Linked DNA regions of Drosophila melanogaster. The protein of the gene in region 1 purifies or fractionates together with the protein of each later gene. This does not show direct contact. Each region holds a gene or a part of one and is shown on either strand. Other genes may lie near its edges. The genes, in order: ck, Mlc-c and Sans.

Region 1 (10,029 bases):
GCTGTTCGATCCATGAGTGTTTGCCACTAATCGCAGCCAGATACTGCAGGATCAACTTTGTGCTCTCCGTCTTTCCAGCTCCAGACTCTCCGGAAATAACGATACACTGATCCTGGCGATATCGTTTCATATGCGCATACGCATTGTCGCCAATTGCAAAGATATGCGGCGGTAGCTCACCGATTTTCCGCTCCTTATAGAGCTTGATCTGATCACCTGTGTAGATGGGCAGAATCTGGTAGGGATTAACGGCAACAAGTATGGAGCCCGTGTAAGTCTGAAATTATAAAAGTTATAAGCGTTCAATATCATATATATCATATAACATATTTAAGTTTATAGAAAGATAACGGCTGCCGCCGAATTGATTACTTTATTCTTTCAATTTCTTATAATTGGAGCACGATAAGAAATTGAAAATCACTTAATATTAAATAGGTAAAGATGACGCAACATAATTGAATGTTAACGAGCTAATTTCCTTATGTTTACCTTCAATGTTTTTAAGAAACATGTTTCCTTCTAGTGATTAACTTTAAATTGGTATAGGGGCAATCCATTAAAGTGCCTTTCTTTTGAATTCTATGTATTATAAAGATCAACTTACGTATATCAGATTCTCCTTGTAGCGGATGAGCAGATTCCGCAAGATGCCAGCCTCGTGCAGATCACCCAGGGATATCATGTCCTCCACACCCTGAACGGAGGACGCGTGCATGGCCTTGATGCGGCGCTCGGGTGCCAGCCACACCTCGTCGCCATCGTCATCGCGCACCTGGATGCGACGACCCTCGGCGGAGACGACACGTGCTCCAATGGCCACATCGAATTCTCGCCCAGATGCGGGCTCTATCCAGATGTAGTCACCCTGTCGATTAGAGGCGCAATTACAAATTTCCGATTTTTAACCATTTTACGATTTTACAATTTGACATTCAGTTCTTTACGAGGCAGCCGCATTCGGTTGCCATGGACATGGGTGCCATAAAGACTATGGGCTGTTTGTTGTAAGAGTCACTTGAGCGGAACGCAACAAATATAGTAATACCAGGGACAGAAATGGGCAGTGCACAGTGATGGGCGGAATTGGATGAATATGCAAAGGTTTTACGTAAAAACCTTATAGAGAAGGTCTAGAACAAGGAAGTTATTATAACACTAATAGCTAGCCAATTATCATAGAACAATTTAAGTCAGTTAGAATGTTATTTAATGAAATAAGATTGTAGATCTGAATGCGTATAAGATTAGTTAGATTAGTTAAAAAACTAAACTATGCAAAAATAAAGTACTTTGATAAGACTGCAATGAAAATATATATATATTTGAAAAATACCATCAACCTGTTGCTTTGCCCCATTCAAATATTCCCAGCCACCACTGTTCGTAGAGCAATGGTAGTTGAAGTGAGCCATGGCGTGGAACTTCCGCTTTTTTGCTTCTGTTAGCTGGTGCTCATGGGGCGGGGAAAGGTGAGATAGATGGAGTGGCTCGATAAGAGGAGTGATACCTCCACTGCGGGGGCTAATGGTGAGTGAAATACTTACACGTGTTACGATCACCATGTTCGTCGTCCTTCATTTACTGATCCTGTGTTGGCATCCAGGGACAATGGCCCGTTCCTTTTCGCTGCTGCCGCTTGGGTTATATTCTTCTCTGCCGAAAGAGAGAACAAGTGGAAGAGTTGGCCATGAGCAACAATAACAAAATACGAGTTAGCGCCTGCGGCAACAAAAACCGGCTTCGAATAGTAGAAAAAATTAAGGTGAAGTTTACGGTAAATTGAAAGAATTCACAACTTGTCGCTGTCTTCGTTTGTGGTCCGTCGTCTTCTTTTTGTTGTTCTTGCTATCAAATCGCTTTCCTAGCTCGAGGTAAACGTCTTTCTTTCCTCGATTTGGCCAACACACTCCAGCCAACAGCCAGCAAAAGTGGCAACTCATTAACAACACAAAATCAACAGCGAATTAGTCATCAGGCTTAAATGCATTCATAAAACTCATACTTTCGATACTTCTTTTCTTCTTAAACTAAGGGAAAACAGCCCGATCCAAACGAATTGATACGTGACCGAAAATCCTATAAAAAAAGTAAATAAACCTTTACACCTTTAGACATGCAAAAAAGGCCATCCAACTATTTTCACTTTTTGAGCTTCGGTCGCTTCAAACAATCAGTTTTGGCCACAAGAACCAACCGAAAAAGAGGGTCTAACCGAAATCGAAGGTCTCAATGAGCTGCGTTTGTTATGCAAATTGCTTGGTTTTCATTGAAAAAATTTACTTTCATTACTTTGTACGGCCTGGCAGTAGCTAAACAATGTTTTCGATTTAAGGCGATAGAAAACTAAACCATCTTCAATTAGATATTTACGAAAAGAAATTAGAAATGTGTTGCGCCACTGACAGGTTATCGTTGGTGAAAATTCCACCTTTAAATATGATCTTTAGAACTAAAGAAAATAAACATTGCAATTATAGTAACCAGTTTTAGCACCGGATTACAAGTGAGCAAATGAGCGCTGATTACAGAGTCCGATTACAACCATAATTCTTTAGTTTAATCATTTAATCTAGAGAATTCCGGAAAAACTCATCTAATCAACATGTAGATCGGCTTTTTTAAGCGAACTACTTAATTTCCGAAACCAGTCATGAATCAGAGTTTCAAGCTGGCGTCATTTCCCAGTCGGTTGCCATCGAAGCCGCCTTTCAATTGGACACCCCATCCATCATTTAGCACATGGACTAACGGCTGCCTCCGCACAGGTATAGTATAGTGTGGCATGGTATCAGCCGTAGTGTAGTTACTCATTGGGAGGCGTCTCTCCTCTCCACGGTAATTGCAACATGCCAGACAAAAAAAAAAATAAAGCAGCAACAGCTACGGAGCAACCAAATTTAGTGGCACACGGCGGCACGTATACTCGTACACATACCAGTCTGGTTACGCTCTGCCGGTCAAAATACGAGTCTAGTGCACATAGGGAACCCATCTATCCGCGATCCACACTCGAACCACAACCATATAGCGACCTCAATTGTCGGCTGGAGTTCAAACATTTAACTAAGACATACATACATGTATTAAGTAATATTGCTCAATACTCGTTGTCCTGTTATCAGCACCCAATTTAATAGTTTAATGCCCTCATTGTCATCTAAATCCCCTCTTTCCGCAAGTACTTAACTGTAGAACGCGGAAAAGGTTTCATTTATTGGGAACTCTATTTGTATCTTAAGGATTGCTTTTTAGGTAAACGTATCTATATTCGTATTTTAATCTTTTTTTGGTACTCAATCCACAACTGTTTTCAAATTGAAGAGAGCACTTAGACTAAGCACAGTCATGACTGAATTATTTAAAAACGATTGCCTAATTGCCGTACCTGCTGTTATCAGAATTTCCCTGCAGTGCAAGTAGCGATAAGAAGCGAAACATCAAACAAGGTGTAAATCGAGGTGTGAGGCAGACATTTGTATCTCTGGGCATGACCAAAAACGATTAAAAAACTTATAGAATCGAGCAAAGAGCGTCTAAGAATTTCCGGCTCTGCAGATTTAGCATCGAATGGTAGTGATAGTGGACTCAGTGACGAACGATTGGCACGTATCTAAGTGCATATATATGGTAACCATATGTATGTATATGTACTGCATGTATATATGTCTATAAGTAAGAGAGTGCGTTTTTAGTGAGTGATCCAAAAGTTCATCGAGAGTCATTAGTGAAAGTTCGTGTGTGGCAGCCACGTACAATTACGGTTTATGCCATCTACTCTACACTACATACAGACACTCGGCCATATATTATCTATAAACATATGTACATATAAAAGTATGTATGGCGTTCATACCAATTGTTTAATACAACCACTTTTTGTTCACTTTGACTTTGACACTTGACATCATGTTGTTGTCATCTTTGAGCAATTTGTGGCATAAAAACATTTCCTATCTGAAAAATTCATATTCGTCTTATTTTACAAAAAATGCAATAATAATCCTATAAGGTTTCACTTTACTTATACGTTAATTGGAGCACTTTAGTTAAACCCATATTGTTTTATTGGTCACTTGAATTATAGCTCTCAAGATAATATGGCTAATAATAAATCCGTAGTAAAGTCTATGGAATGCGAACGATTCTTAAATTTAAGAGCAAATGCACTTTTTCAATTCATTTGAACATTTATAATATTACTTATTTTACAAAAATATTGATTATATGTTGCCTTTAGACCTTTTCAAATTTAAATTATAAAGTGTTTGTTATTAATGTGAACTTGTAAATGATTTAAATTTAAAAAACACCGTTAGTTGTAGAATTTTTTTTTAACTTTTTCCATAATTACTAGCATTGCTAACAAAATTCTTTTTCGCAAAACTTCGTTTGTTGTTCACACAATTTGCTTCTGGTTTAACAACTGAAATCTTCTACAAAATTTAACGACTCACCAGCGACAACAACAAAAATAAAAAATGGGCAAAGTATTATGTTCATTTTTTTTTTATTATGTATTTAGAGAAGACCTTAAAAAAGTTTCACCAAACAAACAGAAAGTCGCTGCGTGCGCGAAAGCCCCCAGCAACAACAAAAACAAAAACAGCCCAACAACCCAAATGGAAACGCAAAAAAAAGGTTGAGATGGGAGAGAAGAAACAAAAACCGGCTAATGAAAAGCGTTTATTTGAAAAAGGGTTTTCCAATTGTCCACACACGAAATGTCCCGTTGTGCAACAGCAAAAACAACAAACCGGACAAACAAGTGTGCCTGCGTTTTTGTTGTTATTGTCAATTTCAGAACTCTTGACCGCTGAACTGCAAGAAAAAGCAGACGCTTCATGATCGATTTGTATTTATGCAAATTTATGTAAATGGGATATACAAATATTTAACTTGAATGTTTGAAATTTATAAACAATTAATGATAGTACACTCTGATTAGATTAGATTTACACAGTAAAAGTATTTCATATATGTATATTTTTCATAATCATAATGATAGATTATAAAAAAAAACGTTTTCAACTGATTAATAAAACACACTTAGTCACTGTTTTAAGGTTTACGCACGTAATTCCATAAAAGACTATTCAAATCATTTTAAATTGACATCGTTTATTTCTCAGTGTGGAAGCCTGGTTCAAGCTCAAGGAGAATGAGAGGGAGAGAGCGCACTGTCGAGAGCGGGTGGGAAAGGTACGTGGCAGAGGGGGAGACGGTAGCAGCACCCTTGAATGTGTTGCACTGTGAGCCGCTCTTTACGCATCTCTCCCTCTCGCTCGCTCTGCAGCTCCTCGGCAGGTGTACCTGTCCGTGTGTGCGTGCGAGAGAGCGGGGCTGCGCTTGTAGTGTGCATGTTAGTACCGTTCTAGCCAACGAAACCTGAAGCGTAGCTATTTAATTTGGTCACTCGCCTAAAGCAATAAAAATGCAATGCAGCCACGTCTCCGTCTGGAAATGCAATAAAATCGATGATGTTACACTGAACCGATGCTGTGACCCTTGTCATTTTCCCCACTGGCTTTTCTAGCCACAAACAGACACACATTTACACAGACCGCTTGGCAGGGTTAATGCACTCTTTTCTTTTAGTTTCGTTTCATTTCTTTTCTTTTTTCCAATCACTCTCTACCTTAATTGCCGCCTCAGAATTTTGCACTCTCCGCTTTTCGGTCACCGAATTCGAATTCTAATTGGAATCGCTCTCGCCACGACCGTTTAATTAACACTTTTCCAGACCCGTCGAAAGCGGGATGTTCTTTTTCAAAAACAGGTTACATAAATAGGTCACGCACCAGCAGTCGCAGGAATAGAGCAGCGCGCCGAAAGTCCGCTTTTCCAGCACAGTTAAGCCGAGCAACAGGTGGATTACAGACCACTGATCATTTTGGGGCTGTGCGATTTGTTTATTGTTTTTCTTTTCGCCGAGAAGACAAGACTTGAAGCGAAAAATAACAACCGATAAACTGATCAATAAGAGTGACCAGGTGGTGGGGCCAGTTGCGAATGGCCTAAAAAATGCGCGGATTACTAATCGTGGTATGCTAACGAGTTAACATTACAGTTCATTTGAAAACCGCTTATATGGTCACATTGCCGCGTAAGCAGTCCGATCGATAGACTTCCGATAGCATCGATAAAAATAAGCATTACTTACCCAAATTTATCGACCTGCCTAATTTCGGCGCGCATTTCAAAATATCTGTCATAAGCTATTGCATTTTTCAAGAAATATCTTTTTTCTATGTCAATATATTAAACATGTCGTCATATTAGCTCATTGAAGCGGTTTGTTGATTACCTAATTATTTATACGAACTGCGATAAGTAGTAATTAAAATCTAATTATGCCCCATCAGTAATTATATTTTTGGAAACCAGTACTCCACCATCGCGTAGAGTGGTCATTACATCCAGACTATTTGCCCTGATGAAGTACCTCTTGTGGATCAGCTTACTTTTCATTGGAGAATCCCATGGATACGTGCGCCTCACGAACCTCAAGTGCGAAAGCTATGACAAATCATTCGTCGTCTTTCCCGAATGCCGACTAAAAGTGCTTGGCAGGGGAATTATCGGAGCCAACATACACGTTAAGCTTCTGAAACTGCCAATAAATAGGATGGTCGTGAGATTCATCACTTACCGGAAGCTAAACGGATACCATCCGTTTCTATTTAATGTTTCCGAGGAACACTGTCGCGTCCTAAGGTATCCAAATCGTCTCAGAGTCTTCTACTATTTCTACACCGCCTTTATGCCCTTTTCCAATATTAATCATACATGTCCCTATAATGTAAGTATTTAGTTTCGCCAATATGACAATCATATTAAATCATATTAAAATATATATTTTAAGGATGATATTTACATAAGGAACTGCACCTTGGATGATCGTATGTTTGCCAAGGTCCCATTACCAAAGGGTAGCTATAAGTTAACCCTCGAAATGGATGATGGTGTCGTGAACTGGATTTCCATCATAAACATCCACTTTGAAATTGACGTTGACTAAGATGAACAAAACATTAGAACACCTAATGGATCTAACACAACGAACACATATTTATTTTGCGTTAATGTTTTAATTATTCCTATGCCCGCTATATGATATAGTTGTCCGATCTGGCCCGTTCCGACTTCTATACTTAATGCAATACAAAGTTCGTTAATGCAAATTGCTTTAAAACTGACTAATTACATCGGTTGTTAATACTCTTCGAGAATACATACACAATATGGCGTCTTATTTACTTCTCTGCTAGATCATTCTGAGTTATATTTATAATGTATTCATATTTACTTTGCTCAATGCTCAATTTATCGCCCCGCTGTGTTATCGGCGAGTTATCAGCAGCGTGGTCGTTATCACCGGCGTTTTTAAAAAACTGATTGCGGCAACAAGACGTCTCCGTTTTATCAATAGTTAATGTTTATTGAAATTTCTTTTCTCTCGTTTAAGGTTTAGGTGGTCAGAGTAAACGCCTCCGCAGTTGGGCAGCAGATACAAAATGTTTTCTCGCGTGTCGTGTCTTTACAATGTTTCATTTAAGAATATGAAGGATGTGTGGTGTGTGCTCATTTGGGATTGATTTATATTTTGGAACAATTTTGGGAGTTAGCAGAACTTCCATCGGTTGCCGCACTCGTTGCACATGACGAAGGTGGTCATAGGTTCATCGGCGGAACGAGTCTGCAGCTGGTTGTAGGTGCAGTTGCGCTTCTTGCACTTGGCGCACTTGAGGAGATCGGTCTTGGTGCCCTGCACGGTGGCCAGCTGGGCATCGTTGATGGCCTCCTTGACGAACTTCTCGCGCAGCTTCTTCATCTCATCGCTGGCCATCTCCTCCGGCGTCATTTTGGCCAGCTGCTTGGCAGTGACGGCGCCGCACATAAAGTTGCCTCGCAATCCAGGATTTTTGGGGTCCTTCAGATTGGCCACGCGTGACCTAATGCGATTCTTGTACTTCATATCCGTGTTATTGAACTCGGAGTAAATGGCATCCTCCAGTTCGGCGGCCATTTCCTCCGGCTCACCGCATCCTTCGGGCACTTCACCAATCTTCAGTGCGGTGGCCAGCATTTCGCGGCATTTGATGCGGACCGCATCTGTCATGCCGCCGGAGGGAAACGAGGTCTGTGACGAGGATGTCGAGCCTTTCTTCTCTTTATCCTTGGATGAGCTGGATGAACTGGACTTATCCTTGCCGGAGATTGACGACGACGACTTGGCGGCACTGGTGGACTTCGAGGCACTGCTGTTGTTGGAGGAGCCCTCCTTAGCGGAGCTGTTGTTCGGTGTGGTTGGCGCCGGGCTGGCGAGGAATCGTTTCCAGTTCTTGATCAGCGTCTTGGCCAGAGCGATCACCTCGTCGTCCTTGCTACTCTTGCGCAGCTCGTTTACGGTCATGCCGATGCGCGTTTTGGTCAGAATGTCGAGATTGATGTTAAGCGTTTGCAGGGCCTTCAGCAGGTCCAGAGCCTGATCCTGTCCCTGTACGGTGGATATATGTATATTTGTGACATGATGCGCGGCACGTTAGCTAATCCCGATACTTACTGTGCCGTCGCTGGCCATCTTGCTCATCTTCTTTTGGATTCGAAACACTTCCTCCTCCACGCTCATTTTGGCCCACTTAATTTGATCAGAGGTTAGGTTAACTGGCGTCGGCTGTCGGCTTTAATCGGTGCTGCGGGTCTGCGACAGTTGTTTATGCGGAAGCCGGGCTATTTCTTTTTTTCCCTCCAATAAATGTTGTTTACTATTTTTTTCGTTTCTGTATTCGCAGAACGAGTTGACAGAACACCCTAACGCGTTTTAGTGTTACCGGGCGGTGGCTTGTCAAGAAATGCCTTCCCATGGCTAATACAATTCCCAACTGGAAGTAGTTTGGGTTTCAGAAGTCAACAGTGTTACCGTATTTTAATGTACATCTGGCTTTTAAGCGAGTACACACACATAGCATTGCGATGTTTTTTAAACTTGCACTGCTTGCAAGCAGGGCTCCACTGTATTTCAATGAAAGAACAGCGTGTTGGGCGTTTTTGAATTATACTAATTACCTTCAATAACAATTCCCTATATATCACTTAGTTTTAATAAATAAATCGTTTGAGTGTGGTCTAGAGATGATGTATTATGATGAAGTGCGGTTGTTGGGGACAAGCGGGATACGTCTGCGGGTCAAATCGGCGGTGGGACATAGTGAGAGGGCAACGGCTCCAAAACCAAGCGTTGCGAACAATCACCAACGCGCCCTGGTACGCGAGAAATGTTGATATCGCACATGACCTCAGCATCCACCTTCAGTTTGAGAACAAATTAAATCAGGCACATACCAGACAACCAGGAGAACACTGAGGAGGCGTCATCAAAGATATCTTTGGACACGTGGCATAAACAAGCCAAACTATTATCTAATCAATATTTTTATACAAATTTTGTATGTTTCCATGTTATCTTCGTTGCTCCTGTTAGTTACTACGTTTCATAGCCCTTAAATTGGTTGCTTAACGTAAAATAAAATTATATTGTATAAAAATAAAGAGGAATTCACCTATAACAAACGAAAAAGTAAATAAATAAGAACTTCCCCATGTTAAAAATGCCACCACCATCTTTACATATAAGTATGTACATATGAATGAATCACTTAGGTTGCTTGAATATTACAATTTCATTAATAGCTAAATCACATTTGATGTGTTAGTGGAAAACGGCTATATATATAAATTATCGAAATTGTGAATATCGAATTGCGATAGCACAATGGGAAATTCCACCACTAGATTTTTGGTACTTTTAACAGATCCTTTTCGGTTTTGCGTTGCGCGAAGTGATCTGAACTTATCAAAGTTTGTAAGGTAATACATAAAGTGAAAAAGAATTAATTTGCTCTTGAAAGGCAGGGTAAGTAGCAAGAGACTATCTTAGTGATATGCAATTAGTTTTGAATCGGATTTAATTTTGCAACATTAAAAATAAGCTCATTAAAACTTGTCTAAATTGACTCGACAAGTTTT
Region 2 (9,357 bases), on another chromosome or scaffold:
ACCATCTCCACCAGTAGCAGCATCATCTTGGCCCTCGTCCATGGCGACGACAGAGTCAGCAGCATTACCGTCGTCCATTTCTTCCAGATTATTGGGATTCTCGACGTTTCTACGTGATTTCGAAAAAAAAAAAAAAAATGAAAGTCATGCCAATACGAATTAATGTCAATGTCCAAAAAAAAAAAAAAAAAAACTTTTTAAGGTTAGAGTTAAAATGGCGGCAAGGAGGACTCACGTGTTCTTGGTCATGCTACTGGGCGTCACTGGAGTCAAAAGCTTATGCAAGCAGTCGGTCATTTCGTTAAAGTGCGCCTTGTGGCACTTGATCTCCTTCATTTTCTTCTCAATCTTCTCGGTCTTCTTACCAAGCGGCTTCAGCATTCCGTTCTTCTTCTTGTTGTTCTTCTTATTGTTCTTGTTGTTCTTCTTGCCATTCTCCCGGCCATCGTTTCTATCCGAATCGTTTGCCATTTTCGCTTTGATCAAATCGAAATAAAACCGCAAAACAAATTCAATTCACAACAACTTTGTGTTCGAAACAATTTGGGGCAGCGCACAATGTAACTTTTTGTTTCACAAAAAGCAAAAAACAAAAAAAAAAAACAGAACGCGCACAAAAATCAGAAAAAATATTCCGAAAAATATTCAGGAGCACAATCAGTAAATTCGACTAGCCTCTATGAACTCGAAACGAAAGTGATTTTGGCTAGTGCCTTGCGCTTACAGGAAAACTCGGTGCTTGCTAATCGTTAGGAAAAATGTGCTACAGCGAATTACACGCCTGCCCCGTTAAAAAAAAAGCGAAAAAAAAACGAGCAAAAAAAAAAAATAACGAGCGAGCAAATAAGTTTGTCAAGTTAATACACATAGGTATTTGAATTTGTATTTGTATATATGTATAATAAATATCCTTTTTTTTATTGTGACGCATATTTAATTAGCGCAAAAATATTTCGAAAAATCGCTAAATTCGTTTTTTTCTACTGGTTGATTTGTTTTTTTTTTCATATAAATGTTTGTATAAAAATCATCGATTTTGATCTTAGGCTAAAGTTTTTTTTTTTGGTGGAAGTTAAGGATTCGCTTCGAAAGAGACAGGTGGGCACAGACGCGATTCGCTTGGCCGTGCTCCTCTAATTGATGATAAAGTTAGTTATTGGCTTGGTATGGGCAGCATGGTATGATGACCTCGTCCTCAGGATGTGGCGAATATAGTCTTGCAGTGGGTGATGAGCGAGGAGAGCATAAAGATCTCCTCCGTCAGGTTGGTCATGTGCTGGGGCGTGGCAATCAGGGTCGGCGCAAATACGGTGGCCAGATTGTGCTCGTTCATCTTGTTAACGGCGTAGTGGGAGGCCACCCTGCGGGCAGAAGGTTTTTTTTTTTACTTAAGATCGCATTGACCATGCTGGCAGTCACACTCACCGCTTCAGGTGCTCCAGCATGTACTGCAGACAGCTGTGGTGGGCGGGCGGCAGGCGACGCACTGCCTCCGCCATGAGCTGGCGCTGCTCGGCCTGCTTGCCGGTGCCTGCAACAGATCAAAATAGATAGAGAGATAGATAGATGTGAATGGCATGGGATGAGGTGCAGCATAGCACCATAAAACTCACGTCCTGCTGCCATAAAGCTGGGATACGCCTGGAATGTGATGAGCGGCACGGGCAGTAGGCGCAGGTAGAGCTTCAGTGTGCCGGCGATCACATTCACATTGCCATACGCCGTCTCCGACATGTCCGTCTTCTCGCCCTCGCGATCCAGGGCGAGTTTGAGTGCCTCGATCTCATCGGCAAAGCCGGAGACCCGATAGATACCCTCCTGCAGCATGCCCCGGGCCTCCACCTCCTCCACGCAGCGGCGCACCACGAAGGGTATCTGGTGGTGGGGCTCCAGCTGCACCATCGTGGTCAGATCCGTGCCAAATACGCCGCGTATGCGCTTCAGATCCGGCACACACTTGGGCGGCACCAGTTCGGAGCACTTGCTGTGCGCCACAAAGCCGCACGCCTCACACTTGACGCCCTGGGCGGTGAATCCCCACAAGAAGTTGGCGCAGAACTCGCACCAATTGAGCCCCTTAAACGTGTGCACCTGTTTGGATCAGAATCTTCCATTAGATGCTATGATCCTTTATAGTTGGCTTCTTATGTCTGAACACACACCTTGAAGTGATGCGGCTTCTCGTAGACCAGCGGCATGGGATCCACGGCTGGAGGCGGTGGCTCCTCCTGCTTCTGCTCCTTCTCCTCGGCTGGCGATTCCTTCGATTCCTTGGCGGCGGCCTTGCCCAGCTCATTGGACAGAGCCCTAAGTTTCCGGCCATTTAAGGTCATGTATGGGCTTTGCTGGTAGCAGTTCTTGGTCTGCTGGTTAATCTGCTGGATGATGGGACTGGCGTGGAGCTGCATGTGAAAGTTGATCAGCCCGTCGGCGACCATGTCGTGCACCGTGTCGAAGCGCTTGTCCTGGCCGCGCAGATAGTGTCCCACGCCGGGCTTATAGAGGAGCTTGTAGTGCTTGGGTCGCTTGTTGAAGCGCAGGCTAAGCGTGTAGTAGCCATCGGATTGGGGGCTCCGGCGTACAAAGTAGCTGCCGTCGCGGGCATTGGCCAGCAGCTGCTCCGCCTCCAGGTGGCCCATCAGGCCATGGTACTCGGAGCCGTATAGCCTGCCCGCCAAGTTATTGGCCTCCACGGCCTCAGCCGTGCTTTTCGCCGGCGGAAGGGGCAGTGTTCGCTGGCAGCGCAGTGGACATGGAGCCGGTGCCTCCAGCTGCAGTTTGTACACTGTGCGTGGGCGGGTAAATGGGTAAGGGGATGGTTAGTCATATCATAAGCTTGTGGGTGGCATACGAGGTGCTTCTCCACTCACATTCCGGCTTCCAAACCTTCTGAACCGGAGAACTGGGCTCGGGGGCACCGCCTACTCCGCCGGATCCACCGGTATTCGCATTTCCGGCGCCCGCCTCCGTGTTCCGGGGCATCCTCCCTCGGATTAGCAGGCCACTTGGTCAAAAGCCACTAAGTAGGCGGCGAATAATTAAGGAATGCAGCCAATTAAGTAAAGTATACAAATAATTTTGTCCGAGCGAGCAGAGCTGCCAGACTGGCGAAAATTAGCGCGGTATTAAAGTCGGAAGAATACTAAATTTAAATGACTATAACTTTAGATAAACTTTATAGTAAGCTTATTGAATTTATTGATAGCTAAACTACATTATATTGTTTTGTAAATACTGTAGTATGCAGTGGTTCTCACTTAATAATCAGTTTAAAAATGTCCGAAAGCTCAGAGCACAAGAGCTCGCAAAAAATACCACAAACAATTTGCTTAATTTCAGTTAAGTTTCCTAAATATTTCAAAAATTTGCATCAGTCGTAATTTTAAGCAGCCATTTATTTGATTGCCATCCGCTTTCAACAAGAAATAAAAACAAGAGCTAAGGTTTCAATTGGTTTAATAGTTTAAGTACGTTTCTTTTGTAAAAAGACCTACACATTCATTGGATCTCATTTCATTATTTATTAAATACAAATATTAAATTATTTAAAAAAAAATAAACATGTAAAACTTCAAAATGCGCATTTAAATACGGACACACGCCACCGACGCATATCAGCTTTAATTTAGAAATACTTTTTCGTGATACTCTGGCTTTCCTTCCTTCCATTGAAGTATACTATGGTAATTCATATATATATATATATAAATGTATCGAGTGTGATTGGTACAAAAGAACGACTGCACTAGTTGATAATTACTGATTAACCTTCTAGTGTCAATTTTAGAATAATACGCACATTCACAGACGCGGTAATTAGTTATGGTTAATCATGAATCTATGTCTACATCGTTGGTTAATTTTGGAAGTGGGAATAGCTCCAATCTCGTAGTTTTAGTTTTTAGTTTTCAGTTATTAGCTGCTTGTGTTAAGCACTTTCCCCTGTATTTGTTATATCTCGATATCCTTGGTCGTTGTCCTTGGTTTTGAATGCTTTAATGCCGGGGTAAGAATGGCTAAGTTGGAATCACGGAGTTGGAACTTCTGGCGGAATGAACGGCTCATCTATGTGTAGCTTGGCAGGTGTGTTTAGTGTTGGTGTGTTGTATTGTGTTGGATATAGCGTTGCTTCTATTGTCGTGTCGCTGGACAGTTGAACAGCTAGAATCGGTCTGATCCTAACCGCTCATGACCATGCGCACGAACTCCTCGTAGTTGATGTTGCCCTGCTGGTCCTCCATGTTGGCCAGCAGCTGCTCGACCTCCTCGTCGGTGAGCTTCTCGCCCAGCGTGGTCAGCAGGTGGCGCAGCTCGGCGGAGGAGATATAACCGCTGGCGTCCTTGTCGAAGTGACGCAGTCCTTCGATGAAATCATCAGCCGTATCGCCCGAGCGGGCCTTGGAGATCGCCTGATAGATGGGCAGGAACACCTCGAACGAGATGCGCTCGTCGGGCTTCAGCTGGTGGGTGCACTTCTTGACATCCGACTCGGTGGGGTTCTGGCCCAGGGCCCTCAGACACTCGCCCACCTGGCTCAGCTGAATTTTGCCATCTCCGCGGTTGTCGAACAGGTTGAAGGCCTCCTGGAATTCTGCGAATGGAAAGTGCGTGCTGATTGTTGGCAGATGCTTTACAAATCTTAATTATTATCGTTACAACTTACAAGAACCCTTCGATAAGGGATATAATATATAATACCTACATAACTACTACATATAAACGTATGGAAATGTGAGGGGGAACTATAGCTTTCTACCACCCACTAAATGGCTAAATGGATCACCTTCCAGTGTGGTAAAGGTTTGCTTCACATGCGCCGTATAGTAATACATATTGAACCACTCCGATGACCGTTTTGCCAGCTACTGACTGCCTGAAACTCCGCCTGCCCGGATTTGGCTGGCCATCGGATCGAAGCGGATCGGATCGGCTCCGATGCAAGCCACCACTCCGCCTTCCTTGGCCATGGTATACCCTCACGTCGCTGGCAAACTTCGTTTCTCTACCGGGAACTGCCTGCTTGCAAGTAAGATAAACAACCCAGAAATCCTAAGTTTCAAAGTTTTTCGTTTCGAGGCGTGACATCGCAAGTCCATTTCGCGTGCAGTTGGATTTAAGCAAGTGATGGTGTAAGTTAACCAAGCTGCAAAAGTTCTGCGATCTACGTGCGTAAATAGAACATTGTGGTTGGGCTCAATATTTTGTTTTCAGATCCTCTAAAGATCTGAGCACTAGAGTGTTCACCATTCGATGAATTGCTGGGATGTGTTCGGTTATCATGCGAATACGAGATCCAAAAATGGCAATAAAAACAAACGAATCCAGCACATTTTTGTCCATTTTAGGCAATGACAAAACGTCGACGGCTGGCTAAAGATTGCAACAAGGTAAGTTGGAATTGGAAAATAAATATATGGTATATGGCTCGTACATAGGCATATGCGGTTGAACGCTGACGTCAGAGTGTCACGAATCCAGCATGACGGAATTATCAGAGACCATTGACTTTGATTAGGTTAAACGAGGGGATTGCGTAAAGATTCGATTCGATTTGATTCGCCATGGAATCGAAATCGTGTTGCATTTTTACTTAGAGAGAAGGTGATGTTCCGTAAATGGAAGCTGGTTTTTTTTTTTTTTGTCAACTGACTGGCTTCTTATCGCATGGCTATTCGGTTTTTGCAACTGCAATTGCAGTTTTATTTGAAACGAGCAGCCGGCGAGTCAGAAAACCGGGTGATTATCCCATTAGACCGCTCTGTTATCTATATTTTATCGCTCACTTCCTTTCGCTTAAACAGTGTTTTTTTTTTTTTTTTGTACTCATACCGAGGTGTTGGTTATGATTATAAGCGACCAGTTTCTGTCTTACAATAACTGCTCTTATGATGACCTACAAACTTGGTTTACACTAGCTTAAGACTAGCACTAGCTTGTTGGCAGAAACTAACTAGCTGATGGTCGAATAAGTTTGTTGCCTGCTATGCATATTATCAATTAACTTGGTGTGGGTTTCGGATAACCGAAAGAACTCGGATTTATCAAGAGATATTAATGCGAAACTTGGTACACAGCCGTGTGTCGCTATTCTATGAAGCTATTCCTTGGACGAACATAATCTGCTGATCAAAGCCCAAAAGTAGCACAGTTTCGATATGTGTTGTCAGCTTGATCTCGGATGTCTTTCGAAGTCATCACGTCAAACTTTGCCTACAGCTGCTCTTAATTAAAGCATTTTGGACAGGGTATTGCAGTGTTTCGGTTTTGGGACTTTCTCGCCGCTTTTTAGGTGAGTCACGATCGTATTCGTATGGCTGCCGTCTGCCTTCCAGCGTATTTGCTTTATCAATGATTCATGCACACCACACAAATGTACGTGCCATCGCTTTCCCGCATTCCAATGCTGTGTGGGAGTGGGAGGGAGAGGGCGCTAGGTGCCAGCGCACATATCAATACTATACACATATATATATCTGTATATATATATATATGCGATTTGCCCGACTTTTGACTCCTGGTACTTGACCCCGTCTGGTCCTCGTGCGATTCAACTCACCAGCCAACTGATCCTCGGTATAAGCTGCCTGCGGGGAGAGAGAGAGGGGAAAGAAAGGAAAACAATGAAGGAAACTTGAGTGCTGGCTTCCAAAGGCGCCGGAAAGCGCACTTCCAGTGCGATCGTAAACAGTAAACAGCGCCGCAATAAACAGCCTGCACTCACCATATCGATTTGTTTTTAGCTATCTGAGGGAAAACAACACAAAATACACGAAATATTGAATATTGAATTCGACGTCGAAACAAAACGCAAGCAAATTCTGAAACGTTGTTGGTGTTAGTGGTCGCCGATAGTGGGCGCAATCGATAGGCCACTCGAAATTCGATAGGTGCGACAACATCGATGAGTGCAGGGAGTTTAGTGAAATCGAGCAGTGCTGCCAGATCGTTTCACAAGAAACCGCCACACGTGCCGCCGATTTGTTTTGATTTTGGATGCATTGGATCCTGGCCAAATTAGTTAGTCCCCGATGAGCACACAGAAGGTGGAGTACGACGCTGCGTTGGGCGGCCGGGTCACACTGCCGTCGCACGTGACCACGTACCATTATGCGGCCGAGGCGCTGCAGGAGATTCGCAATTTGGTGGCCGACTGCCAGGAGACGACGCAGCGGAGCAGCAAGCTAATCTTCCAGACGCTGCCCAAGCACATGCGCCGCCGCGCCATGTCGCACCATCCCAAGCGACTGCCGCGCAAGTACCGACAGGCGCACAAGTCCCAAATGGGCAAAAGCGGCAACCAGCCGGTGAATGGGAAACGACCATCGAGGAAGTACCGCCGGAGACCCAAGAATCTGATGCGTGAGTACGTGCGCCGGCAGAGGCGGCACGTCTGGCTGGAGACGCACATCTGGCACGCGAAGCGATTCCACATGGTTGACCGCTGGGGCCACCGGTTGCCCTACGCCAGCTGCGACAAGACCTACCGCGCTTGCTATCGCGCCAGCGCCGAGCACTGCCTGCTGCAGGACATCTCGTTCTATGGTTGCGTGGAGTTGCGGGGACCCTTGGACATGCTACGCGAGGGATTCGCCCGGCTAACAAGTCCGCAGTGTGGCCTTGGGATCACGGCCCGGACTTTTCTGAGCGGACGACGTGAGGGCAGCGTGGAGTTATTTGAGGATGGCCGCTATCCGTATGGAGCCCTGCAGCGGGCCAGTTTTATGTGGCGGCCACGGCGGGAGGAGGAGGATGAGAAACAGACGAATCACACGCTCTGGCTGTGGCTACATCCCAGTGGCGCTCAAGCTGTTCTAAATCAGCTTATAAGCGTGTTCCAGCTGAAATCCACAAGGCAACAAAAGCTGCCTTTAAACGAGGCTGTGACTGAGGAAAAGATGGATGTGGATAAGATTGAGCCAGTCGAGTTGTCCAAGGAAACATCGCCTGGCAAGAAAAACTCGAAGAAGAAGCCTGAACAGAGGCCCCTGCGCTTCTGGACAAAAACGAAAGCATTCGATCCACAGCCTAGCTACTTCAATTCCGACGGCACTCTCCACTTGGTACTGCTGCAGCGGGAGTTTAATCGTTTCCGTTTGACAGGGCCTAGAGCCCAAAAAGTTCTTTTTGCCAGCTTACGTCCGCATCGAGAAGAGGAGCTCCAGGATAAAGCCAACTACTGTCAGGCAGCCTTGCAGCTGAGCTCGCCCGCCGAACTGCTGTCCAATCTGGTGATGGCCCACCTTGTAGTGGATCCGCGCCTGCAGCGGCCCAAGAAGCGTACGAAAGCAGTCGGCAAAATGGAACAGCCACCATTATCCGCCGGCGATCTTCTCATGAATCAGCCAAAGAGTCTGCCGGAGAGTCCTCTGTGGAGCAAGAAGGCGAGAGAGCGGCTGGCCAAAGGCATTATGTCCGCGCACAAGTACGACCAGCTGCGAGAACAACATGCCGTTGTGCCAGGAGCTCCATGTGCCTTCGAACAGCAAATGCAGGCGCTTCCCGTGATACTTATTCAAAGACCAGGATCTCAGGACCCCAGATACAAGAGATTGGGCTACGGCTGCGGCTGGGATGTGATTGCACCGGCAGGATACGGCATGACCCTCTGGCTAACACTCACCATGTGGGGCGCCAGACCCGGCGGATTGAGGGAACTGGATTCGGTGGCTAGGGAGGCAGGTGCCGAAATACATCTGCCAGATACATTAGCGGGTAAAAAGTGTTTTATACTCTGGCGTATTCTATATTCCCTTAATCATCTCACTTTGCATCTGTTTAGGAGTTCAAAGAGCTGCTGCTTCGGCGGATGAGCTCCGTGCCCGGTATTTCCGTATGCCGCCCAATAAGCGTACCAATTACCGAAAGTTGGCCGTGGTCAGTCCGTTTACTGCACCCTGGAGGCATCTAGTGCGCGACTGGCGTGCATCATTCAGTTCTGCGAGCGAGGGATCATCGTTCTATGTGCTGCGGCATCGCCAGCAGCTGGAGGAGATTGTCGAGAGTATTCGACATCGTAGCCCACTGCCACAGACTCTGCCCGACGACGCCATCATACAGATTCAACTTCAATTGCTATCCCGTGGCCATGTGAAGGACAACGCCCTGATTTGCTTGCCCACGGCGGCGGATCACAAGAAGCGCTGGCGACAGCTAAAGCACAACGACCAGGCCCCCGTTCACGTGGAGCCAACGCAACCGGACCTGAATGAACAGTTGCGCAAGGAGCTACGCCAGAGTCACAAGCTAAAGCTGAAGCGATTGCGATCGAGAAGGGTGCGTGAGAAGCGGCGCCTTCAGGAGACTGCCACCAAACGTGTCCACATACGGCCAGCGAATACGGCTCATCTCGTACGTGGC
Region 3 (11,034 bases), on another chromosome or scaffold:
CCAATGGACGAGAAGGGAAACAGGCCGGAGAATACCGCTGGACACATTCGTTTCGAGGGCATACGCTTCCGTTACCCCGCCCGTCCGGATGTGGAGATCCTCAAGGGTCTGACCGTCGATGTGCTTCCGGGTCAGACGGTGGCCTTCGTGGGCGCATCTGGGTGTGGCAAGAGCACCCTCATCCAACTGATGCAGCGGTTCTACGACCCCGAAGCGGGCAGTGTCAAACTGGATGGACGGGATCTTCGAACACTGAATGTGGGCTGGTTGCGTTCGCAGATCGGAGTGGTGGGCCAGGAACCGGTTCTCTTCGCCACCACCATTGGCGAGAATATCCGATACGGAAGACCATCGGCCACTCAGGCGGATATAGAGAAGGCGGCGCGAGCGGCCAACTGTCATGATTTCATCACTCGCCTACCCAAGGGCTACGACACCCAGGTGGGCGAGAAGGGCGCTCAGATTTCTGGTGGCCAGAAGCAGCGGATTGCCATTGCCCGGGCTTTGGTTCGACAGCCCCAAGTGCTTCTTCTCGACGAGGCCACCTCTGCCCTGGATCCCACCTCTGAGAAGCGGGTGCAAAGTGCCCTAGAACTGGCCAGCCAGGGACCAACCACTCTAGTTGTGGCCCACCGACTGTCCACCATCACCAATGCCGACAAGATTGTCTTCCTCAAGGACGGTGTAGTGGCGGAGCAGGGTACGCACGAGGAGCTCATGGAGCGACGTGGTCTCTACTGCGAACTGGTGAGCATCACCCAGCGGAAGGAGGCCACGGAGGCGGACGAGGGAGCGGTTGCCGGGCGACCTCTGCAGAAGTCGCAGAACCTGTCTGACGAGGAAACCGATGATGACGAGGAAGATGAAGAGGAGGACGAAGAGCCGGAGCTGCAGACTTCGGGCAGCTCCAGGGACAGCGGATTCAGAGCCAGCACGCGACGCAAGCGTAAGTACCAGAAGTTGGAATATTTAATGCTTTTACTAACCCAAGTACCAAGACTTAAATTCGATATTAAGTAAAGAAAATAAGTAATAAAAACAAATGCAAAATTAAAAGTTCTATAAAATCGTGCACTATATTATATATATTAACTTTAAAATCCAATTCAAATAATTAACAGGTCGCTCGCAGCGTCGCAAGAAGAAGAAGGACAAGGAAGTGGTATCCAAGGTGTCCTTCACTCAACTAATGAAGCTTAATTCTCCGGAGTGGCGTTTCATTGTCGTCGGAGGCATTGCATCCGTAATGCATGGCGCCACATTCCCGCTTTGGGGTCTCTTCTTTGGCGACTTCTTTGGAATCCTCTCGGACGGTGACGATGACGTTGTGCGAGCCGAGGTCCTGAAAATCTCCATGATCTTTGTGGGCATTGGCTTGATGGCCGGATTGGGCAACATGCTCCAGACCTACATGTTCACAACGGCCGGCGTGAAGATGACAACGCGATTGCGTAAAAGGGCTTTTGGAACGATTATTGGTCAGGATATTGCCTACTTCGATGACGAGCGAAATTCAGTGGGAGCACTGTGCTCCCGGCTGGCCAGCGATTGTTCCAACGTTCAGGGTGTAAGTTTCAAGATTGAGGGTAACCATGCAGAAGCACTGCTATTCCAAGCTACTGCTTTTTACTATATATGTTTAAATATCTAACGCTTTTTCCTTATTCCAGGCAACCGGAGCTCGTGTGGGCACAATGCTCCAGGCCGTGGCCACTCTTGTGGTTGGAATGGTCGTCGGTTTCGTTTTCTCCTGGCAACAGACGCTCCTCACACTGGTCACCCTGCCCCTGGTCTGTTTGTCCGTCTACTTGGAGGGCCGTTTTATCATGAAGAGCGCCCAGAAGGCTAAGGCGTCGATCGAGGAGGCTTCTCAAGTGGCAGTCGAAGCTATTACCAATATCCGAACGGTCAATGGTCTTTGCCTAGAGCGCCAGGTCTTGGATCAATACGTTCAGCAGATCGATCGCGTGGATATCGCCTGCAGGCGTAAGGTTCGCTTCCGTGGTCTGGTTTTCGCTTTGGGACAGGCGGCTCCTTTCCTGGCTTACGGCATCTCCATGTACTATGGTGGTATTCTGGTGGCAGAGGAGCGAATGAACTATGAGGACATCATCAAGGTGGCCGAGGCTCTGATCTTTGGCTCCTGGATGTTGGGACAGGCCCTGGCCTACGCGCCAAATGTAAACGATGCTATTCTGTCCGCCGGACGCCTAATGGATCTCTTCAAGCGCACCTCAACGCAGCCCAATCCGCCACAGAGTCCCTACAATACAGTTGAGGTAAGTCAACATTTCGCCAATCGAAACCGTACATTATGTTGGAAACTCAAATTTGATTGTTTTTTTTTAGAAATCCGAGGGAGACATTGTCTATGAAAACGTGGGCTTCGAATATCCCACCAGGAAGGGCACTCCCATTCTGCAGGGCCTAAATCTCACCATCAAGAAATCGACGACGGTTGCTCTGGTGGGTCCATCTGGTTCCGGCAAGTCCACCTGCGTGCAACTGCTGCTTCGCTACTACGATCCCGTATCGGGATCCGTGAATCTGAGCGGAGTGCCGAGCACGGAATTCCCGTTGGACACACTGCGCTCCAAGCTGGGCCTGGTCTCGCAGGAACCCGTGCTCTTCGATCGCACCATTGCCGAGAACATAGCTTATGGCAACAATTTCCGTGACGATGTGTCCATGCAGGAGATTATTGAGGCGGCCAAGAAGTCGAATATCCACAACTTTATAAGTGCTTTGCCCCAAGGCTACGACACCCGACTGGGCAAGACATCGCAGCTCTCTGGAGGTCAGAAGCAGCGCATCGCCATCGCTCGAGCCCTGGTTAGAAACCCGAAGATACTCATCCTGGACGAGGCCACCTCTGCGCTGGACTTGGAGAGCGAGAAGGTGGTGCAACAGGCGCTGGATGAGGCGAGATCAGGCCGCACATGCCTGACGATTGCGCATCGTCTGACCACCGTGCGGAATGCGGATCTCATCTGTGTGCTAAAACGCGGCGTGGTAGTGGAGCACGGCACCCACGATGAGTTGATGGCACTGAACAAAATCTACGCCAATCTCTATCTGATGCAACAGGTGTCGGGCTAACACAGCGAACTGGAGTGATAATTGTTAGGCTTTAATTTAGTATGTACACTAGGCTAATTGAACATGTTGAAGTATTACAAAAAAAATAGAATGATTAGGCCAACTACTACAGTCGACTGTCTACCAGGGGTCCGGGATTGGCCAGGGCGTTACGTCTCTCCTGAATGGCGAAGGTGAGTTTACGGAATGGCCCCAGTGGCAAGCCAAGTGACTTAAGGTCCGATTCTGTGAGCAGCATCAGAGTCTCCAAGTCGATCTCTTGCTTCTGAAATCTGAAATGGTAAAGGAGGATACGAGTTGAATACACATACATTCCAGACAAATTTGGTTTTGTTACTCACACTGGCAGGTATTCTTCCAGGGCCCAAACGGCCAGGAATCGCTGCAAGGCACTTCCTCCGGCATCTCGGTCGTCGTCGTCATCATCGCTATAGATGTCATGACCGCCGCCCTCCGAGTCCGTATCATCCGAAAGGTTCAAATATAAACGACCCTTTCCTCCGCCATTTCGTGTCTTTGGAGGATTGCTGCCCGCATTCCGCATCGTGGAAGTGGAACTGGTGTCCGTGTGCAGTTGAAGCTGACTTAAAGCAGCAGTTACGGATCGACGAAAGGCAATGCTGCCCAGCATGGTGGGTCTATCGAAGAGTCCAACGGGTCTCTGGAGGGTCACTTCCTCGCTTAGTTCCTGGGTCAACTGACCATCCCCCAGAATATCCGGTTGGGAGAAGGAACGCGCTAAAGTAGAGCTATAGCCACTGCGGTTATCGCTGTGGTCCAACTCATCGGCCTCCATGCACTCAAAAACATCGCTGATCTTGCCGCGCTTGCCGACACTGTCCTCGTTGGAACTAAAGGTGCCCACATACAGCACCTCGGAGTCTCTCTGCAGACCCGTAAGCGATGTAATGGTTCGCTTTCCATCTGGCTCCACCTCGCGCACCTTGAAGCCACCGTCTGTGTCGCTGGATATCTTCGAGTGTGGACATGTGCTGCTGTGCTGCTTTTGGAGCTGCGACGGTCTCTTTTGCACCGTTCCCGCTCGACTGGCTATTGTGGAGCCACCGCTGCTGCTGCTACCGTTCCCAACCAGATCGCTGAACTTTGTGGGAGGCGGTGTATCCCTTGGTGTCTTATTTAGATTGCCCTGGCTGGACCAGATCTTCTGCTTCAGAGTGGACAGCATGTTGCCGGTCTTGCTGGAGCCACTGGGTGCGCTTAGATCCGAATACTCCGGATCCTGGCGCTGTTGCTGCTGATTCTGGCGCTTCATGTACTCCCTAACACGTTTCTCGCAGTTTTTCTCGGCCAATTCTTTCAGGGCCTTGCTTTTTTTTCTGTTAGTTGAAGTATTAGTTTTAATATATACAAAAAATAAATTATGCAAACAAAAATGCAAGCAAGTGGCAGATATTTCATAAACTTACTTTTCAGTGGCCTCAAAGTTTGTGAAGGCAACATCCAAGTAGCGCAGGATCTCGTCCCTGCCATTAATAGCCGCCAGATCCTTGGCGCTGTGCTTATCGATATCCAAGGCATAGATGTTTACTCCGAATTTCACCAAGAAGTCGACGCAATGCAAATGACCCTTGGCGGAGGCCAAGTGCAAGGCTGTGTTTCCGAACTGATCGCATTTGTCAGGGTCACCACTGAAGGGAGAGGAAAGGATTATCTTCAGTGGATATAGAATTATCATTTAAACGAATGCGTACCCCCTTCCGCACAGCAGACGCAGTGCATCCAGACGCCCCTCGAAGGCAGCCCACATGACCGGCGTCATGGAATCACTGTCCTTGGCATTCGTATCCTTCCGTGTGGCTGCTGCCAACACATCCAACAGCCCATCTTTGGCGGCTCTAAACGGAAACGATTGTACCAGAAAGTTAATGAGTCTCTTGTGCATCACCATTGGTGATAAGATAGAGTCAAATTAATTGCATGTACCCACTTGTGAAACCGATCCGATGACATATTCGTCTGTGTTATCTTTCAATCAGGTTGGCGATGGAAATTCTTGAATCGATCTGAAAGGAATCCAAGGCGAGATGAGTAGGCTGTTCATTATACTTGCCATTCCTTTCCATCACACATCTCAAGATTCTCAAAATTAGGTCACACACATAAGCGCCAACAATTCTTTACAATTAAAAAGCATGTCTATAGAAAAAATCTCCTCCGAGCTGCGTAAGATGATAATATCTGACAATCCAATCGAAGCAACAACTTTCGATAAATCTGCAATAGAGGCAACTTTGGATTCCAACAAATTCGAAGATCTACGAATTCCGAAGCATACACTGAAGCAAAAGTTTCTTCTTCGAAAGTCAATAATTGAACATCCCTTTAAAAGAATTCGTGCCGAAGGAGTGGATTGGGCTCACAAAATTCGAGACACCGACGAAGAGAAGGAATCTAATTGGGCAAAGATTGCGACTGGAAAGGTTTCTGGCAATGCCTACGATCTTAAAACCATGATGAGCGAGTGTGAAAATATTTGTGGTTACGGAAACGCCATAAACTTGACGGTCCCAAGGGTGGACAAACTACAGGATCTGGCTAAATCGATCCCAACGGATCCCGATACAGTCTACCTGACCTGTCAATGTGATGATATTTTCTCTAATGGAGGCACAGAAGCTCCGACTCAAAGCCCCGACGAAGTTAATTTCGAAGAGCTGTCCAGCTACTTCGAAAATATGCTCAACATACCCAAGAATCTTCCGCTCAGCGCTGAAATAATGTATACTTAATGATTGGAACGGTGTGTGTATTGTTATATTTAGAGTAAAAAAAGATATAAATCATTTTAGTTTACGGTTTTCTCATTTTAGATGTGGTGATGTTAGGTTTGGATCCCTATATATGCATATACATATGTACAATGTATGTATCAGATCGACTGATTTCCGTTTTGGTGTTACTGGTACCAAATGTAGACGGGGTTTTCGTACTTCTTGTCTTACTCCACTTTTTAATGTGCTTATTGTGTGGGGCTGGCCAATTAAAATAAGCCCGAAGATGAGCCAAATTCCTAAGCCTAAGCATATTGCCCTTTTTCCCAGCACTTGTACTAACGTTCACACGTTTCGAATTAATAATCCAAAAAAGAAAAAGAAAAGTGTAGCCGCCGCGAAGAATCACAGGCCCACGACACACGCACACAAGAAAACATTACCCATTTACTGCGCACGACGGAGTTTGGCTTACATACCAACGACCAACTACCAAGTTCACTCAACCTTGTTGGCTGGTTTTCGAATTGCCCAAAACAACCGAAAATCGAGACAGTCAACCATTTACTTATTTACCACGGGTACACACACTCACTTATTACCAGTTAGTTGTCCCGGTTCAAGACGACTTTTCAAATGCAGGATTTCAAATTGGATTTTCCCACTCCGGGCAGCTTGACACTTTTCTTTTTAGCCAAACGAACCGAAAGTTTTCATCTGCGATCGGTAGAATATGCACGTTCCGAAAGCCGTTACCCGGAAGCACTTTCTACCGCTCCGACTGCATGTTGTTGAATGAAATTGTTAGCTTTGCTCAAACTCGGCGCTCACATTACGCACAGTGGTCGAGAAAATGATAGATGCTGCTTAGACGGCAACTAAATATTTTAATGGGAAAAATTATGTATGCTAATGTTTTGTTTTAAATTTCTTAACCAATAAAGTAATATAAAGAATATAAATTAATAAAAACATTGTATTGAACGTATTGGTTCAATAATCGTATTTGAATATAGAATAATTTGTACGAAAATATTTAAGGTGTGAACTACTGTGCGGAATCAACTTGTATGTCCTACTGTGACTCTCTTCGACGATAGGGTGTTGCCAGACTGAAGTTGCTACGACTATCGCATCAACTAACGTAGAGCACTGCAGCCCTGGTTGACTAGTGCCGCCCTGGTCCGATTGCCAGAAAAAAACAAGACAAGTGAAAAAGCGAGATAAATCAAATTAAAAATATTGTAAAAAATTGTAGTTAAACACGCGCTGGAGCACGGTGAACTGAAAATGTGAATGAAAACCATCAATAGAGAGAGACGAGCGCGATTTGGTGGCACCAAATGCTGCAGTTGCAACCTGCACATGTATGTGTATACGCGTGAGTGTGCGTTTGCGTAGGAGGCACCAAAATAACAACAGCAATCGCAGTGACAACAAAGAATCGGAATCGGAATCGTACTTGTTTGTACTCGCACAGGACGTACTTGGAATCGGAATCGGAATAGCCACTACCATATGCCAGAGGAGGGAATCGCAGTGCCAATGCATAGTTAATAAATTTCCCAGAAGCTATACGACCAGCAGACCTCAATTGCAATTGCACGCCCCTTGACAAATCACAGTGTCTCAGCCAAAACGAAACTGGAAGCCATCGAGTGCTCCCGTTAAGCAAGCAACTGCAGGCGGAGCACGGGGGAGGAGTAGGACCTGGTGGTGCACCAAGCACGCCCGCACTATGGGCAATTGCCTGAAATGCTTCCAGTCTGCCGCCGAACAATCGATGCCAACGAACGCCTCGTCCCCCAATTCACACAATTCCAATTCCAACGCCTGCCAGACGGCCACCAGCCTTGCAAATTGCTACGAATCGGTGGGCATTAATCCCAATGCCAACGAGCGCTGCGCCTTAGGTGGGTATTCTATAGTTAATAACCGCATTGTGATCCAAAGTCTAAGAAACCTCTCTTATTCCGGCTTATGCACTCTAGAAACCGATGAACTGCTCTCTAGCCGAACTCCACTCAAGCCAGCAAAAGCAAACAATTGTGATACTAAGCGTAATAGTTTTAAGTCTTTAGGTTTGCTTAATGGCAGTGCGCCCACCATGAGCGATATCATAACAACTGGTGAGTCAGCGTTCATTCGACTGCCTTGGCGGCATACTCATTCGATTTTCTATATTCTAATAGCTGTCCAGGAATCGATGGAGGTATCGCACCAAACGCTGAGCAAACTATTCGATGTGTACAAAGATCCCGACGACGAGGAGATGATACTCACGGACGGCATCGAGCGACTATGCAATGACCTCAACTATCAGCCCGATGAGTTCGCAATTCTCGTCTTGGCCTGGTGCCTGGATGCCTCGCAGATGTGCCGCTTCACCAAGGTGGAGTTCATTGAGGGTCTGCATAAGATGAGGGCGGACACAATAGACAGTATCCGGGTGCGGCTGGAGCAGACAATCGAGATGCTCAAGGCGGACGCCGAGATGTTCAAGCAGTTATACCGCTTTACATTCCGGTATGCCGTTCTTACTGCTTGGAAGATCAGTACCTAATTAGCGTCTCAAATTTCAGATTTGGTCTGGAGCCCGATCAGCGCGTCCTCTCTCTGGAGATGGCTATTGACCTGTGGAAACTTGTGTTCACTGTACAAACACCTGATCTCTTCTCCAACTGGATACACTTCCTCGAAAAGCACCCGAATATTCGCCGCATACCGAAGGATACATGGAACATGTACCTCAATTTTACGGAACAATGTGATATACAAAATTACGATGATACCGAAGCGTGGCCCAGCCTCTTCGACGACTTTGTCGACTACGAGAAAAGCCGGGCGCTGGTTTCCTCGGGCATCCACGACGATGACAACAACAACGACGATCCCCTACAGAGCCACGTGAAGGCCGAGGATCCGGGTCTTGTGTCATAGTAGCCAGTCTCCAGTCTCTTCAGGGCCAAGCAACATTCAACTCGCCAATAGAAATTAAAGAATGTACATTTTCATCTATACTGACCACTCGCTCTCTCTAGCTGCTGCTTAAGATCCCCTGTGAAAGTAGAAAACTTTAAACACCCGTGGCCACTGAAAACGAACGATGCGGTGCTGGCGCTGCTTGAGGACGGACTCTCCAACTGCCATCATTAGCCAGCTCTTATTATGGCTGGCCAACATTCTGGCCGGAGCAACAACGGACGCATTTGTTTATGTAATTAAAGACTTATCGACAAGAATTTTGGAAAAGCTCAATCATCGGAAACCACATGTGTATATAACTAATTGACTTGAAGGCGGAGCAGAAGGTAGACCGTATAATATTTAGCAATTAATTGATGTATTATTTTAAACAAAATTGCAACATTTTATGGCACTTAACTATTTAAATGCATACAATTACATACTTAACTGTAAGTAGTGGATGTGAATTAAATAAAACCAACTAAAAGATTAAACTGCTTAATTGGATTTGTTAATTATGGCATGGCGTATTTAGTTTGATATACCAGTAAATTAACTTAACATAATAGTTGCTTTAAAATGGGGGGATGTATTCAAATCAACCGCCAATTGCATGGCCTATCGATATTCATATCTGCAGATTGGACCGATAGGAATGCCTCCATGCAACCGTGAGACTAGTACATTAAATTGCTATTTTGGTTGGCCTGATAAAATTATAAAAATCATCGCAAACGCAGTCAGCTGGGTATGATTAAGTGTTGAGTGCACCTCCGCGCTCTTGAACAAATCCCCACCAGGTGGAAATGATAGCCGTGTGCAGGGCATTCTTTATCCAGTGATTCACGGCGTTGACATTGAAAAACAAACGCAATGCCAGCACAGTGGGCGTGAGCAGGCGGAAGGGGTGTAATCGCCAGGAAGGGCAAGGATTCAGTGCAAGGACACGGTCGATAGGAGCAGCTGGCCAGTGTCCAACGACCACGATGCCCTGCGAAAGTTGCGGTGTGGAATTCACGGTGTTCCGTCGCAAGCGTGCTTGCTTCGACTGCAAGTGAGTAATGGCCTGTTCATTTGGTTTTCACGGATTTCGGGGATTCATCGATATTTTGTAAACCTCCATTAGACGCTACTACTGTGCCAACTGCATTGCATCCAGGCGGTGCAAACGATGCTCTGTATTCGCTCAGCGACCACTGTCAAGGACAGATCTATTAAAGCTCAAGCCCAAGGACCTGATTTTCTATCTGCAGTCCAAACACATCTCCACTGAAGGCTGTCTAGGTGAGTTACTCATCCGGGAAGTCCCCTGGATGGGGAAACCTCTGGCAAAAACACAACTTAATACAACTTTTCCCACAGAGAAAGAGGAGCTTGTAGGACTGGTTCTCACCCATGTGGCCCAGGTTGACAGGAGCCGAGGCTCAAACGCCTCCTCCAATAGTCCGGGTCGGGGCCAGGCCAATCCCATCGACAGCCTTAAACAGTCGTGCCAAAACTTCTTCTCCAACCTAAGCGATAACATAAGTGATTCGCTAGCCTCGTTCGATTCCAAAGTTACCACAAAGCCGCCGGAGAGCAGGCAGCCCGAGGTGCCCACCCACATCTTCGAGCAGCCGCGAGTATCTACGCGTGAGATACCCACTTATGCCAGTGCCGTAAACGGCGGACCGCAACACGTGCATGTCCAACAGCAAGCCACAACCACCAATGGTGGCAGTCAAAGCAGCAGCAGTCCCTCGACTTCCACGCAGTCATCGAATAATCGCGATGCCAGTAGCAGCAGCCAGGCCCATGTGGCTCATCAGGAAGCGAGAAATGAAGAGCAGGAAGACGCGCAAAGCAAGTCCGACTGCGAGTGCTCAGACGAAGAGATTATGGCCACGTTCAGTGAGCGTGTTTCGATTTCACTCAAAACCGATACCAGTGGCCGGAGGGTCAATGCTGCGGCAGAGCCCAGTCCTGTTGATCTGGCGAACGTAGATAATGGACCTGCAGGGAACACAGCACCTAGTCCAGGCTGCTCCAAGCCGGGGTCAAGCAGCTCCAAGGCAGATGCCTCCTCGCAGTCAAGTTTTGAGGAGCTGGGCGCCATTGGTGGCATCTCAGACGAGAGCAAGGCCAACACGGACACCAACAGCAGTCACCTGGATCAGTGGCAGGTGCTGGAGGTAAACCGGATCGAAGCTGTAGAAGAGACGCCGACCACGAGTGCCGCCGATGAGATATTAGAGGT

What was found.
Region 2: the proteins of ck (region 1) and Mlc-c purify together in Drosophila melanogaster (affinity purification with western blotting; one study listed by BioGRID). This does not show direct contact.
Region 3: the proteins of ck (region 1) and Sans purify together in Drosophila melanogaster (affinity purification with western blotting, with the first as the bait; one study listed by BioGRID). This does not show direct contact.

What each region holds. Positions count from the first base shown.
Region 1 is NT_033779.5:15,051,867-15,061,895, forward strand, and holds the start of ck (crinkled), read right to left. Parts: upstream 5,997-10,029; 5' UTR 5,802-5,996; exon of another isoform or gene 5,639-5,801; intron 1,657-5,638; 5' UTR 1,566-1,656; coding exon 1,548-1,565; intron 869-1,547; coding exon 608-868; intron 278-607; coding exon 1-277. Other genes in the region: CG33679 (uncharacterized protein), read left to right, coding at 6,437-6,802, 6,866-7,021; TfIIS (RNA polymerase II elongation factor), read right to left, coding at 7,625-8,500, 8,567-8,632. UniProt on the Drosophila melanogaster protein: Myosins are actin-based motor molecules with ATPase activity. Unconventional myosins serve in intracellular movements: can function in cells as a single-molecule cargo transporter.
Region 2 is NC_004354.4:5,615,696-5,625,052, forward strand, and holds Mlc-c (myosin light chain cytoplasmic), read right to left. Parts: upstream 4,881-9,357; 5' UTR 4,833-4,880; coding exon 4,784-4,832; intron 4,592-4,783; coding exon 4,179-4,591; 3' UTR 3,441-4,178; downstream 1-3,440. Other genes in the region: CG34434 (uncharacterized protein), read right to left, coding at 1-109, 236-471; RhoGAP5A (Rho GTPase activating protein at 5A), read right to left, coding at 1,196-1,361, 1,426-1,531, 1,614-2,091, 2,163-2,785, 2,871-2,982; POP1 ribonuclease P/MRP subunit, read left to right, coding at 7,029-8,712, 8,780-9,357.
Region 3 is NT_033778.4:12,932,489-12,943,522, reverse strand, and holds Sans (scaffold protein containing ankyrin repeats and SAM domain), read right to left. Parts: upstream 6,633-11,034; 5' UTR 6,434-6,632; exon of another isoform or gene 6,427-6,433; intron 5,908-6,426; exon of another isoform or gene 5,850-5,907; coding exon of another isoform or gene 5,253-5,849; exon of another isoform or gene 5,180-5,252; intron 5,124-5,179; 5' UTR 5,071-5,123; coding exon 5,048-5,070; intron 4,956-5,047; coding exon 4,812-4,955; intron 4,749-4,811; coding exon 4,527-4,748; intron 4,437-4,526; coding exon 3,441-4,436; intron 3,372-3,440; coding exon 3,206-3,371; 3' UTR 3,111-3,205; downstream 1-3,110. Other genes in the region: Mdr49 (multi drug resistance 49), read left to right, coding at 1-946, 1,122-1,567, 1,671-2,279, 2,350-3,099; CG30487 (uncharacterized protein), read left to right, coding at 5,253-5,849; SCCRO3 (squamous cell carcinoma-related oncogene 3), read left to right, coding at 7,570-7,744, 7,823-7,960, 8,024-8,357, 8,414-8,771; CG17019 (uncharacterized protein), read left to right, coding at 9,785-9,852, 9,925-10,082, 10,161-11,034.